3 linked regions of the Saccharomyces cerevisiae S288C genome follow. Changing the gene in region 3 together with the main gene of any one other region gives a genetic interaction. Each region holds a gene or a part of one and is shown on either strand. Other genes may lie near its edges.

Region 1 (3,600 bases), on a different chromosome or scaffold from region 3:
ATAGTTGTTTTGAAAATTTTCCATTAAAAAAGATTGGTCTGCGATAGAAGGTATTCTATCCTTTTTTGGGTCCTTCACATAAACCGAAGAAGCCAAATTATCTTCACCGCCATTAATTAAACCCTTGTAAGTAGTTTTCTGTAATCTCCTTTCTAAGCAGGTAAGGTATGTTTTTTTTAAAGGTTGTGTTTCTGACAATTTGTGAGAATAATGTTGCAATGTTTTCAAATCGGCTGCATCCCCATTTATGATTTCAATTGAGTAATAATTACAAAATTCAATTATTTCTTGCCGATTATTAAAGAGTAACATATTTTCCAAATAAATAAATGGTATTGGTTTATGCTTTTTGTTTAAAGTATGTGATAAAGCTCTTAGCGCATAAAATCTAATATCCGTCAGATGCATTTGCAAAAAAAATCCCATTAATAATGGCAAGCTGGGTGATTGCATTAACTGGAAAAACCTTGCGTAGAAGTTTAAACAATTCTCAGTTTTAACAAACCCGCGTTCAGTATAAGCTGAGTTAGATATAACCCTTCTGAAACATAAAGCCATTTGAACTAATTTATCTTGGAAAATATGTTTTGGTAATCTTTGGATATTCTCATCGTATTGAGGGTCTCTTATTTTACTCAGGAGAGCATAAGCTCGAAATTCAGCCTCATTTGGGCATGTTCCGCCGCTGGAACGAACGTCATCGTATATTTCTGATAACGTGATAAGGGATTTATGCAATTGTTCTAGTTCTTGTTGAAGCGAAAATTCCACATTTGATTTCACCATGATATGCAAGATCAGAAGATGTATCCTAACAATACGCTCATTACAATCTACCGCCTCAGGTCCTGAATAGTTCTGATATGTAAAGTCCTGCCTTATGGATCTCATCCTATCCCATAAGAATCCTTCGCTTTCAGGCAATGTTGTTAATAAGTTATCTACAATATAGTCCAATGTCTTGACTAAAATATGGGGTGGCCTAACATCAGAAGGTAAAGGAGGAGCTGCTGCTGCTGCTGGCCTCGCGAAGACCTTCAATGCTTTAGTTCGAGAAGCTTTTTTATCATTTGGTTGATTTTTTTCATATGAATACACAGTATATTCAACGTTTCTTCTTGATCTCTCGAATGTGGGACACATATCTAAACAGGTACCTTGAAATACTATAGCATCGTAAAGATCCTTTGCTGAGTCAGCTTTATCCACTAGCCCTTTTTCTTCCATTATCGATCGCTCAGTATTTCTCATTTTTTTTAGTGTTTCATACAATTCATTGAGATCATCTATGGATTCTTCCAATGAGATCATTTTTTCTTGATTAGCCTTGTCCCAGGGATCTTGTACAAAAGCTCTTTTCTCCAATTGAGGTTCTTGATTAATCAAAAACCTTGGTAATTCTCTTGCTTTGTGCGATCTCTTCTGAAATCCCAAATTATCAGGAGAGGAAATCAGTGGACCTACAAGTTGAATGGTCTTGGCATCGTTTATCATATATTTTTTCTTTTTATCTGGTTTATTTTCCGTGTAGGAAGGTGAGTGTGAGAGATTTTGTAACGGTTGCTGCGACTTCTTTTGAGAGGTAGAGTGCACCATGAAGACATTTTTCGAAGGTTTCGTTTCATTGCTATTTAAAAAGAAATTGCTGTTGTTAACAGTACTATTGGCACTAGTGTTATCATTATTTCCATGCCCTTTGAAAAAATTGAAATTAGTGGAAGGCACTACTGAGCCAAATGATGTGTTCATTTAAGGGATACCTTCCAAGAGTATTACCTGAAATGAGTACCAACAGTGCTATTGTGAGTGTATCCCAGCTTTGAGATATGTCTGCTGCTTTCCTCTCTCCTTTTTTTTCCCATGTAAATGAGTTGTTTGTATGCATCACTACGCTCTCTGTTTAGCTTTTTTCTTGGGTCAGCGAGAGAATTACCTTTTCTTGAAGTGGAAGAAAAATAATAAAGGCTTGGTATTATACTATTGAAAAGAAAAGAAAAGAAAAAATAATGAACATTGAATCACGAATTCTCGAAACTCAAGAAACTAATAATAAAGATCTACGTTTCAAATTATTATACGTATATTCATACACATATACTTATTTACTTGTTTTGTATTTTTTGTTCGTTCGAAAAAAAAGTAAGATGAAGACATAACTTTGCAATTTTTCCTTAAATCAAGTTTCTTGCTAGTAAGATTTCGGCAATCAAGACACCAGAACCAGCGGCACCAATAATGGTGTTGTGGGAAAGGACAACCATTTTGAAATCTAACAATGGGTCTTCTCTGATTCTACCAACGGAAACACCGTAACCGCTGTCTCTGTTCCTGTCCAACCTTGGTTGAGGTCTGTCTGGTTGTTCCAAAACATGAATAGTTTGCTTTGGAGCAGAATGACAGCCTAATTTGTAGGCATCGCAGACGTATTCTTTTAGGCATGTCTTGACTTGCTCGACGGATGGAGCAGGTCTGTTCTTGAACCTCAAAGAGATACATTCGGTGTGCCCATCGGAAACAGCGACTCTGTTACATTGAGCAGAGACTTTGATTTCTTCTGGAGTCAATAGTTTGACGTGTGTCTTGTCTTCTGCTAATGGAGCCAAGATTTTCTTGGTCTCCCATTCCATCTTGTCTTCTTCACCACCAATGTATGGAATAATATTGTCTAGAATATCAATACCTGGTACACCTGGGGAGAAACCAGCACCTGAGATTGCTTGCAAAGTAGTAGTGGTCAAAGCATCAATAGGACCGAATTTTTCAATCAAAGGCTTCAATGGTGCAACCAAACCTGCAGTGGAACAATTGGAAATACAGATAATGAACCCTGGTCTTGGCTTACCTTGAGCCTTGGCGGTGTCAAGCTTTTGAGCTACAATATCCAAATGCTCAGGATTGACAACAGGAACAATCAATGGCACATCTTGTTCTCTTCTATAATTCTTGGCATTGGAAACAATGGCGATACCAGCTTCCATGAATTCCTTTTCGATAGCGCCAGCATAGTCAGCATCCAATCCGGAAAAGACGATGTCACACTCTTTAAAGAATTCAGATTTACATTCGGAAACAATAATATCGGTAGCAGATTCCGGTAGCAAATCGGTTTGCTTCCAGTTCACAGCGTCAACGTATTTCTTGCCAGCTGATCTAGAAGAGGCACCAAGAACTTTCAGTTCGAAATGAGGGTGATTTGCCAACAACAGAATGAAACGTTGACCAACGGAACCAGTAGCACCCAAAACACCAGCAATTTTCTTTCCAGCCATTTTAGAACGCTTTATTTCTACAATTTAATTTGTATGTGTACTTAAGTGAAAACAAGAAAAACAAGATTTAATTTTATACTCGAAAGTGAATGAACAAATAAATATGGTTCTTTTATTTATTTTTTCTGCTTTTCTATTTTTCTCTAACATTTTGAACTGGTAGTAGTCAGAGGAAAATGAGTCAATCAATGCTTGACAACATGATTTGGAAAAAAAAAAAGTGTGAAAAAAAAGAAAACCGGGTACTTTGAGGCCGCTGCCGGTGATATTTGGATCTGGAAAGAAAGAGAAAAAAAAGCACTGAAGACGTTCAGATGTCAGAATTCTAACT
Region 2 (2,852 bases), on a different chromosome or scaffold from region 3:
TGCTTATTATACCGTTGTAGATAGTTGACAGAAGTGACTTCGCCCAGAGGAACATTAATGTGTCTTGTGTAACTGACATCATGGTCGGACTTTTTCTGTTCTGGGTGAGTTATAGGTCTTAGGGTTTCTAGCCATTGTTCATTGTCAGCCGCTCTTGGTGCATTATCAGGAACTTTCGTCGAATATACTCTTGGTAAAAATCTTTCAAGCCGTAATTCTCTTTTGAAAACGCTAGACCAAGCTATCGACATATCTAGATGCTCTGGCCGAGGACTGATTCTTGATGATATTCTCAGTACGTACACATCCTATTAAACGCTAAATAAACCAGCATGTTTTTTCCTTCAGTACTATTTCGGGGAAGTGAAAATAATAGATAGAACAAATAAAATATTAAAAAGCTCTTTAAAAAATAATACAATTTTTCTCTTTCTTCCCTCCCACTCAACAAGTATGTATAACTCTATCTAACTTGTGCAGGCTGGTTAAATAAAATGTGCTTATTCTAAAACTATGTCACCTTCTTTATCTACAGGATAGCTTTCCGATGGAGCATTTATTTCAGACTTTAATGAATCTATCTTCTGGATCATTTTTTTCATAGAATGTGCATCATCACCGAACATAAGCATTTCTATATCGTCCCATTCTTTTCGCCAATGGTTTAGTTCCTTTGTCAAAGTAGAGAGTCTTTCCTTTAAGGAATACTTATTCTCTAAACCAAATTTGGCACGTGCCATTTTGATCTGATCTAGATAGTTCTTGATTTGAGCGTCTACACCACGTATATCAGTATCAGGCGCACAGTACTGCTCGAGAATACCCTGAAGTTTCTCAGATGGAACCCATTTATCCATTTCATACACTGTCACTGATGGATCAGACACTTCCACCTGCTTTGCTAAATCAACAGAAAGTCGCTTCAGTAAATTTATGTACCTTAAAGTATCCCTATTCAAATGTTCGAAAGTAGAATAGTACTCGCTAATACTCTTAGGATTCTGTACTCCCGCTGCAACGTCCCTTCCAGTTTTTGTATCCTCCAAAAGCTGTGCTTCTCTTGTTTGATATTTATCGTATCGCAGGCGGATGGAACTATTTATCAGCTCCCTGTGTAAATCAGGCAACTTCTTGAGGGATTCAGTAAGCAGATCATCAGATGATCTAGGGTCTGCCAATACTGATAATATATCTAAAATATTTAATAAGTGGGTTTGGCTTTCCTGCAAACTTTGTTCCTCCTCGCAGAGAGATTCAAAATACGTACGACCTTCTTCCTTTGTCATGCTATGAACTTGATAACTTGAGCAGTGTAAACCTGATAAACTAGTCGCTGTTGTTTCTTACTGTAAGATACTGCACTTCTGCAGCTTCTTAAGTATTCTACTTACCAAGTTTCTATTATTTTTCAATGCGCGTACATAAAAAGCACTTCGGGTAAAACAAACACTTCATAATAGCAGACCAAGTACTGCGGTACTCACATCAAATTAAGAGGAAGAAGGGAGTATTAGCGAGCGGAAAACTGAAATCTGGATATATACTGATCAGAATCAGATTGTGAAGCATTTAGAACCATGAATGACGACAGCCAGGATAAAATAATACATGATATACGTATTCAGCTACGAAAGGCTGCCACAGAATTATCACGATGGAAGCTATACGGCTCCTCAAAGTGGGCAGCAGAGGCGCTAGCAGGTCTTGCAGAAGCTATTGATGTTGATCAAACACACTCTTTAGCCGATGAATCGCCACTAAGAAATAAACAAGGTGTACCGAAACAGATGTTTGAAATACCACAAAACGGGTTTGGCCTATCAGAGACTGAGTATGACCTGTACCTCCTTGGTTCTACGTTGTTTGATGCTAAAGAGTTTGATCGATGCGTTTTTTTTCTAAAAGATGTCACTAATCCATACCTTAAGTTCTTAAAATTATACAGTAAATTTCTATCGTGGGATAAGAAAAGCCAGGAAAGTATGGAAAATATCTTAACTACAGGGAAGTTTACGGACGAAATGTACAGAGCTAACAAAGATGGGGATGGTAGTGGGAATGAGGATATAAATCAAAGTGGGCACCAACGCGCCAATTTAAAAATGGTCAGCAATGAGCATGAGTCACAATCGAACATATCATCTATTTTGAAGGAAATTAACACATTTCTGGAGTCTTATGAAATAAAGATAGACGATGATGAGGCCGATTTAGGGTTAGCACTGTTGTATTATTTACGAGGGGTCATCTTAAAGCAAGAGAAGAATATTTCTAAGGCAATGTCGTCATTCTTGAAATCTCTGAGTTGCTACTCCTTTAACTGGTCCTGCTGGCTGGAGTTAATGGACTGTTTACAAAAGGTTGACGATGCATTGCTTTTAAATAATTATCTATATCAAAATTTCCAATTCAAATTTTCTGAAAATCTTGGTAGTCAACGAACGATAGAATTTAATATAATGATCAAATTTTTCAAGCTAAAAGTGTTTGAGGAGCTTAATGGCCAGTTAGAGGACTACTTTGAAGATTTAGAGTTTTTGTTACAAGTTTTCCCCAATTTCACTTTTTTAAAGGCTTACAATGCTACTATTAGTTACAACAATTTGGATTATGTTACCGCAGAAAGCCGATTTGATGACATCGTTAAACAAGATCCGTACCGTCTCAACGATTTGGAAACCTACTCCAATATTCTATACGTCATGCAGAAGAATTCAAAATTAGCCTATTTGGCGCAATTCGTCTCCCAAATAGATAGATTTAGACCGGAAACATGTTGTATCATAGCGAACTATTACAGTGCCCGACAGGAACATGAAAAATCTATCATGTATTTCCGTCGAGCACTAACT
Region 3 (3,961 bases):
CATGAAATTTGTGCATTTTTGGCTCTCAGAAACTCTAAAGATTTTTCAACCACTTCGGAAACTAACTGCTGTTTTTTGTCGTCTTTAACACATTTGCCTTGTGCAGGAATAATTTCCAAAAAGTCAAGTCTAGATGGTGCTAACTTGTAATCTGGCTTACATTTAAGTTTCAAATAAGGATAACAAATACCATTGGGTGGACAAGGGATACATTTCGGTCTGTAGTCCTGCAACAAATTATCCAGTTTTTGAATAAACTCGAAGGAATTGCCACTAACTCGATGGGATGGTACTTCATGCCCACAGTAACCTATGAGCAGTCTTTGCTCTCTATACCAGAGGCCAAATAAGAGAGGAATAACAATGAATATGCAAAATAAAAATAGCGCCAGTAATGATTTGCTCAAAAATTTGAGTGCTCTTTTGAACTTATGCCTGTTCCCGACCTTCCCAGATCCTTGCTTAACATCAAATTCACTCCCATTTTCATGCTCTAATTGCTCATTTACTTCCTCTTGAAGTTCTTGCACTCTTGCTTCACACTTTTCGACGTCTTTCTCTGTGGGTAATTGGGGAGTCTCGATCCTTGTAGGCACTAAAACTTCATCTTCATCCGATACCAAGTTACTACTATCTGTATCTATCATTTCGACCACATTATTGCTGGTATTACCCATAGGCTGATGAGGACCTGGCGTGGTGATCTCTGGAAGCAAGGGTGCTTCCGACTCTGAGCCAGAGCCTTCGGACGAAAACAAAGACGGTGTTCTTTCACTCTGAGAAGGTTCTTGCTGTTCCACTTCTGGAACCAGTATTGTAGATGGTACCTCCTTTTGAGGCAATTTATCCGCAAATGAGGCAGAAACTTTTAACTTACTCAAGGGTGTGCTATGGCCTGTTCCATTGGCAGTTCCGAGCTCTTTTGGATTGTGTCGTATGTTCGGTACAAATGGATCATTTTCCGTACCGCTTGAAGTCAACGAATCGTTAAAATTATCCATGCTTACTGGCTTTCTATTTGTGTTCTTTATTGGTGTTTTGACGGAAAGTTTTCCTAAAATGGCAGAGCCATTTCCATGCTCTTGGTTCAAATCACTCGTCTTACGCTTTTTTGCCTTCTGGTAATCCTGTTCAATTTCTGAATCTGATGATAGGAGGTTCAAATGCTTATTATCGATTTTATTTTCCTTTGAATTAGATTCAGACCAGTCGTCAGAATCAGGGTCTTTCCTTTTCTTACGAGTATCGGAATTTTGCTGGAAATCATTGGTGTCTGATTTGTTGGAGCTTGATGTTATCACATCATCCTCTTCATCGTCCACTTCATCGGTATCCGTTCCACTAGGTACAATTAAAGGATCGTCTTTTTTATCATTGTCATCATCATCATCATCATCATCATCATCATCATTACTTACATCATCCAGTATTCTATTCTTCTTAAACTGTTTGGCCATGGGGGAAGCAGATTTCTCCCTGCGAGCTCGTCTACTTCTACGAGGGGAAGCTATAGATGGGGAAGATGAGGGACGGTCCATTTTCACAATACCTTCATCGCTGGGCCGAACGTTCAGATACATTTTCCGTAACTGCGGGATCTGCGGTTTAACCTTTTCATCGAACAGCCCCACCAGCGCATTTTTCCTAGCATTAGATGGGAAATCGACATTATTTTCTACCAATATCCTCCTCAAAGTCGCAACTTTCATTGAATTCGGATCAAAACCGTCCTCTAAATACTCCAAGTCACTATTCATCGCGGCACTAACTGAGTACTGCTACCGTTCTACTGTTTGTTGTTCTGGCCTCTACGTTCACTCCGTATGGTCTCAGTCTACTATTAATAATGACTGAGGACTATTTCTCTTCCATGTATTCCGCATAGTATATTGACAGCTATACAAGTAGATCGATGTCCAGATTAGCCACCACAAATTGAAACCAAAACAAAAACAAAGGGGGCTTCCTAAAACAGTAATTTTGAGGGCTCTTTAAAACCCTTGATTTCCGTTCAGGGTGATCAATATATATATCCTAGTTATTTTATAGATGCCCTAACTTTATTTTTAGGGCACGTGGGGGTCTTCTCTTTTCTTTTTTCATTCCTTTTTCATCTTTTTTTTGCGCCTGGCGATGATGAGAAAGGAGTTCTAGTAGCACAAGGTTTAAAGGATATTATCAAAAAATAGATAAATTTTAAAAAAAAAAAAAAGGCATCTCTTGACGACTTTTCTTCTCTCTCTCTACAGGCAGAATTAGCAGCGTTTCTCGTATACTAGTCAATTATCGGATATTAATAGTATTTTTATTATAGTCTCCCTGCTATAGCCAATTTTGATTCAGCAAAACTCGATTGAACTGCTAGTACGCCAGATTAATAAATTATATAACAAATAAAAAGGGGGCATTCTAAAAAAAATTATGGACAATCAGGCTACACAGAGGCTTAACGACCTTTCTCTAGAACCAGCTCCTTCACACGATGAACAAGATGGTTCAGGACTAGTCATTGACATAGATCAAAGAAAGATTGGTGATGAACAAGCTGGTGTCGTAGTGGATGATGAGACACCCCCCTTAGAGCAGCAAGATTCACACGAAAGTTTAGCTGCTGATTCTCGGAATGCTAATTTCTCGTATCACGAGAATCAGCAGTTGTTGGAAAATGGCACCAAACAGTTGGCCCTAGATGAGCATGATTCTCACTCTGCCATCTTGGAGCAACCATCGCATTCTACCAATTGTAGCTCTTCCAACATAGCAGCGATGAATAAGGGCCATGACTCGGCAGACCATGCATCTCAAAATTCCGGGGGTAAACCGAGGACCTTGTCTGCTAGTGCTCAGCATATCTTGCCAGAGACGCTCAAGTCATTTGCCGGCGCTCCGGTAGTGAATAAGCAGGTACGTACCTCTGCCTCCTATAAAATGGGAATGTTGGCTGATGATGCTTCACAGCAGTTTCTTGATGATCCCTCTTCCGAGTTGATTGACTTGTATTCCAAAGTGGCAGAGTGTAGAAATTTGAGAGCCAAATATCAGACCATATCTGTGCAAAACGATGATCAAAACCCAAAAAATAAGCCAGGCTGGGTAGTCTATCCACCACCACCTAAACCTTCATACAACTCAGACACTAAGACTGTTGTGCCAGTAACAAACAAGCCGGATGCGGAAGTTTTCGATTTTACGAAATGTGAAATTCCTGGTGAGGATCCAGATTGGGAATTTACCCTCAACGATGACGACTCGTACGTGGTACACAGATCAGGTAAGACGGATGAGTTAATTGCTCAAATCCCTACCCTTCGTGACTACTATCTGGATCTAGAAAAAATGATTTCCATCTCATCAGACGGTCCCGCTAAATCATTTGCTTATAGAAGGCTGCAATACCTAGAAGCACGCTGGAATCTTTACTATCTCTTGAACGAATATCAAGAAACTAGCGTTTCCAAAAGAAACCCACACAGGGATTTTTATAATGTTAGGAAAGTGGACACTCACGTTCACCATTCTGCTTGTATGAACCAAAAGCACTTATTACGTTTCATTAAACACAAATTGAGACATTCCAAAGATGAAAAGGTTATTTTCAGGGACGGGAAACTACTAACTTTAGACGAAGTATTCCGTTCTTTGCATTTGACTGGATATGATTTATCCATCGATACTTTAGATATGCATGCACATAAGGATACATTCCACAGATTCGATAAATTCAACTTAAAATATAACCCTATCGGTGAATCTCGTCTCAGAGAAATTTTTTTGAAGACAAACAACTACATCAAGGGTACCTACTTGGCTGACATTACCAAACAAGTCATATTCGATTTAGAGAATTCAAAATACCAAAACTGTGAGTATAGAATTTCTGTTTATGGCAGGTCTCTCGATGAATGGGATAAACTAGCTAGCTGGGTGATTGACAACAAAGTTATTTCCCATAATGTTCGTT

Evidence for each region.
Region 1: mutations in SRC1 (region 3) and SAC3 together harm fitness more than expected from each alone (negative genetic interaction), as found in Saccharomyces cerevisiae (5 studies listed by BioGRID, with this or other methods).
Region 2: mutations in SRC1 (region 3) and THP2 together harm fitness more than expected from each alone (negative genetic interaction), as found in Saccharomyces cerevisiae (5 studies listed by BioGRID).

What each region holds. Positions count from the first base shown.
Region 1 is NC_001136.10:770,026-773,625, reverse strand, and holds the start of SAC3 (Sac3p), read right to left. Parts: upstream 1,750-3,600; coding exon 1-1,749. Other genes in the region: HOM2 (aspartate-semialdehyde dehydrogenase), read right to left, coding at 2,172-3,269; YDR157W (uncharacterized protein), read right to left, coding at 3,294-3,600.
Region 2 is NC_001140.6:437,776-440,627, reverse strand, and holds THP2 (Thp2p), read right to left. Parts: upstream 1,287-2,852; coding exon 501-1,286; downstream 1-500. Other genes in the region: putative GTPase MTG2, read right to left, coding at 1-251; anaphase promoting complex subunit CDC23, read left to right, coding at 1,578-2,852. UniProt on the Saccharomyces cerevisiae protein: Component the THO subcomplex of the TREX complex, which operates in coupling transcription elongation to mRNA export. The THO complex is recruited to transcribed genes and moves along the gene with the elongating polymerase during transcription.
Region 3 is NC_001145.3:207,321-211,281, reverse strand, and holds the start of SRC1 (Src1p), read right to left. Parts: upstream 1,758-3,961; coding exon 1-1,757. Other genes in the region: AMD1 (AMP deaminase), read left to right, coding at 2,422-3,961. UniProt on the Saccharomyces cerevisiae protein: Plays a role in sister chromatid separation.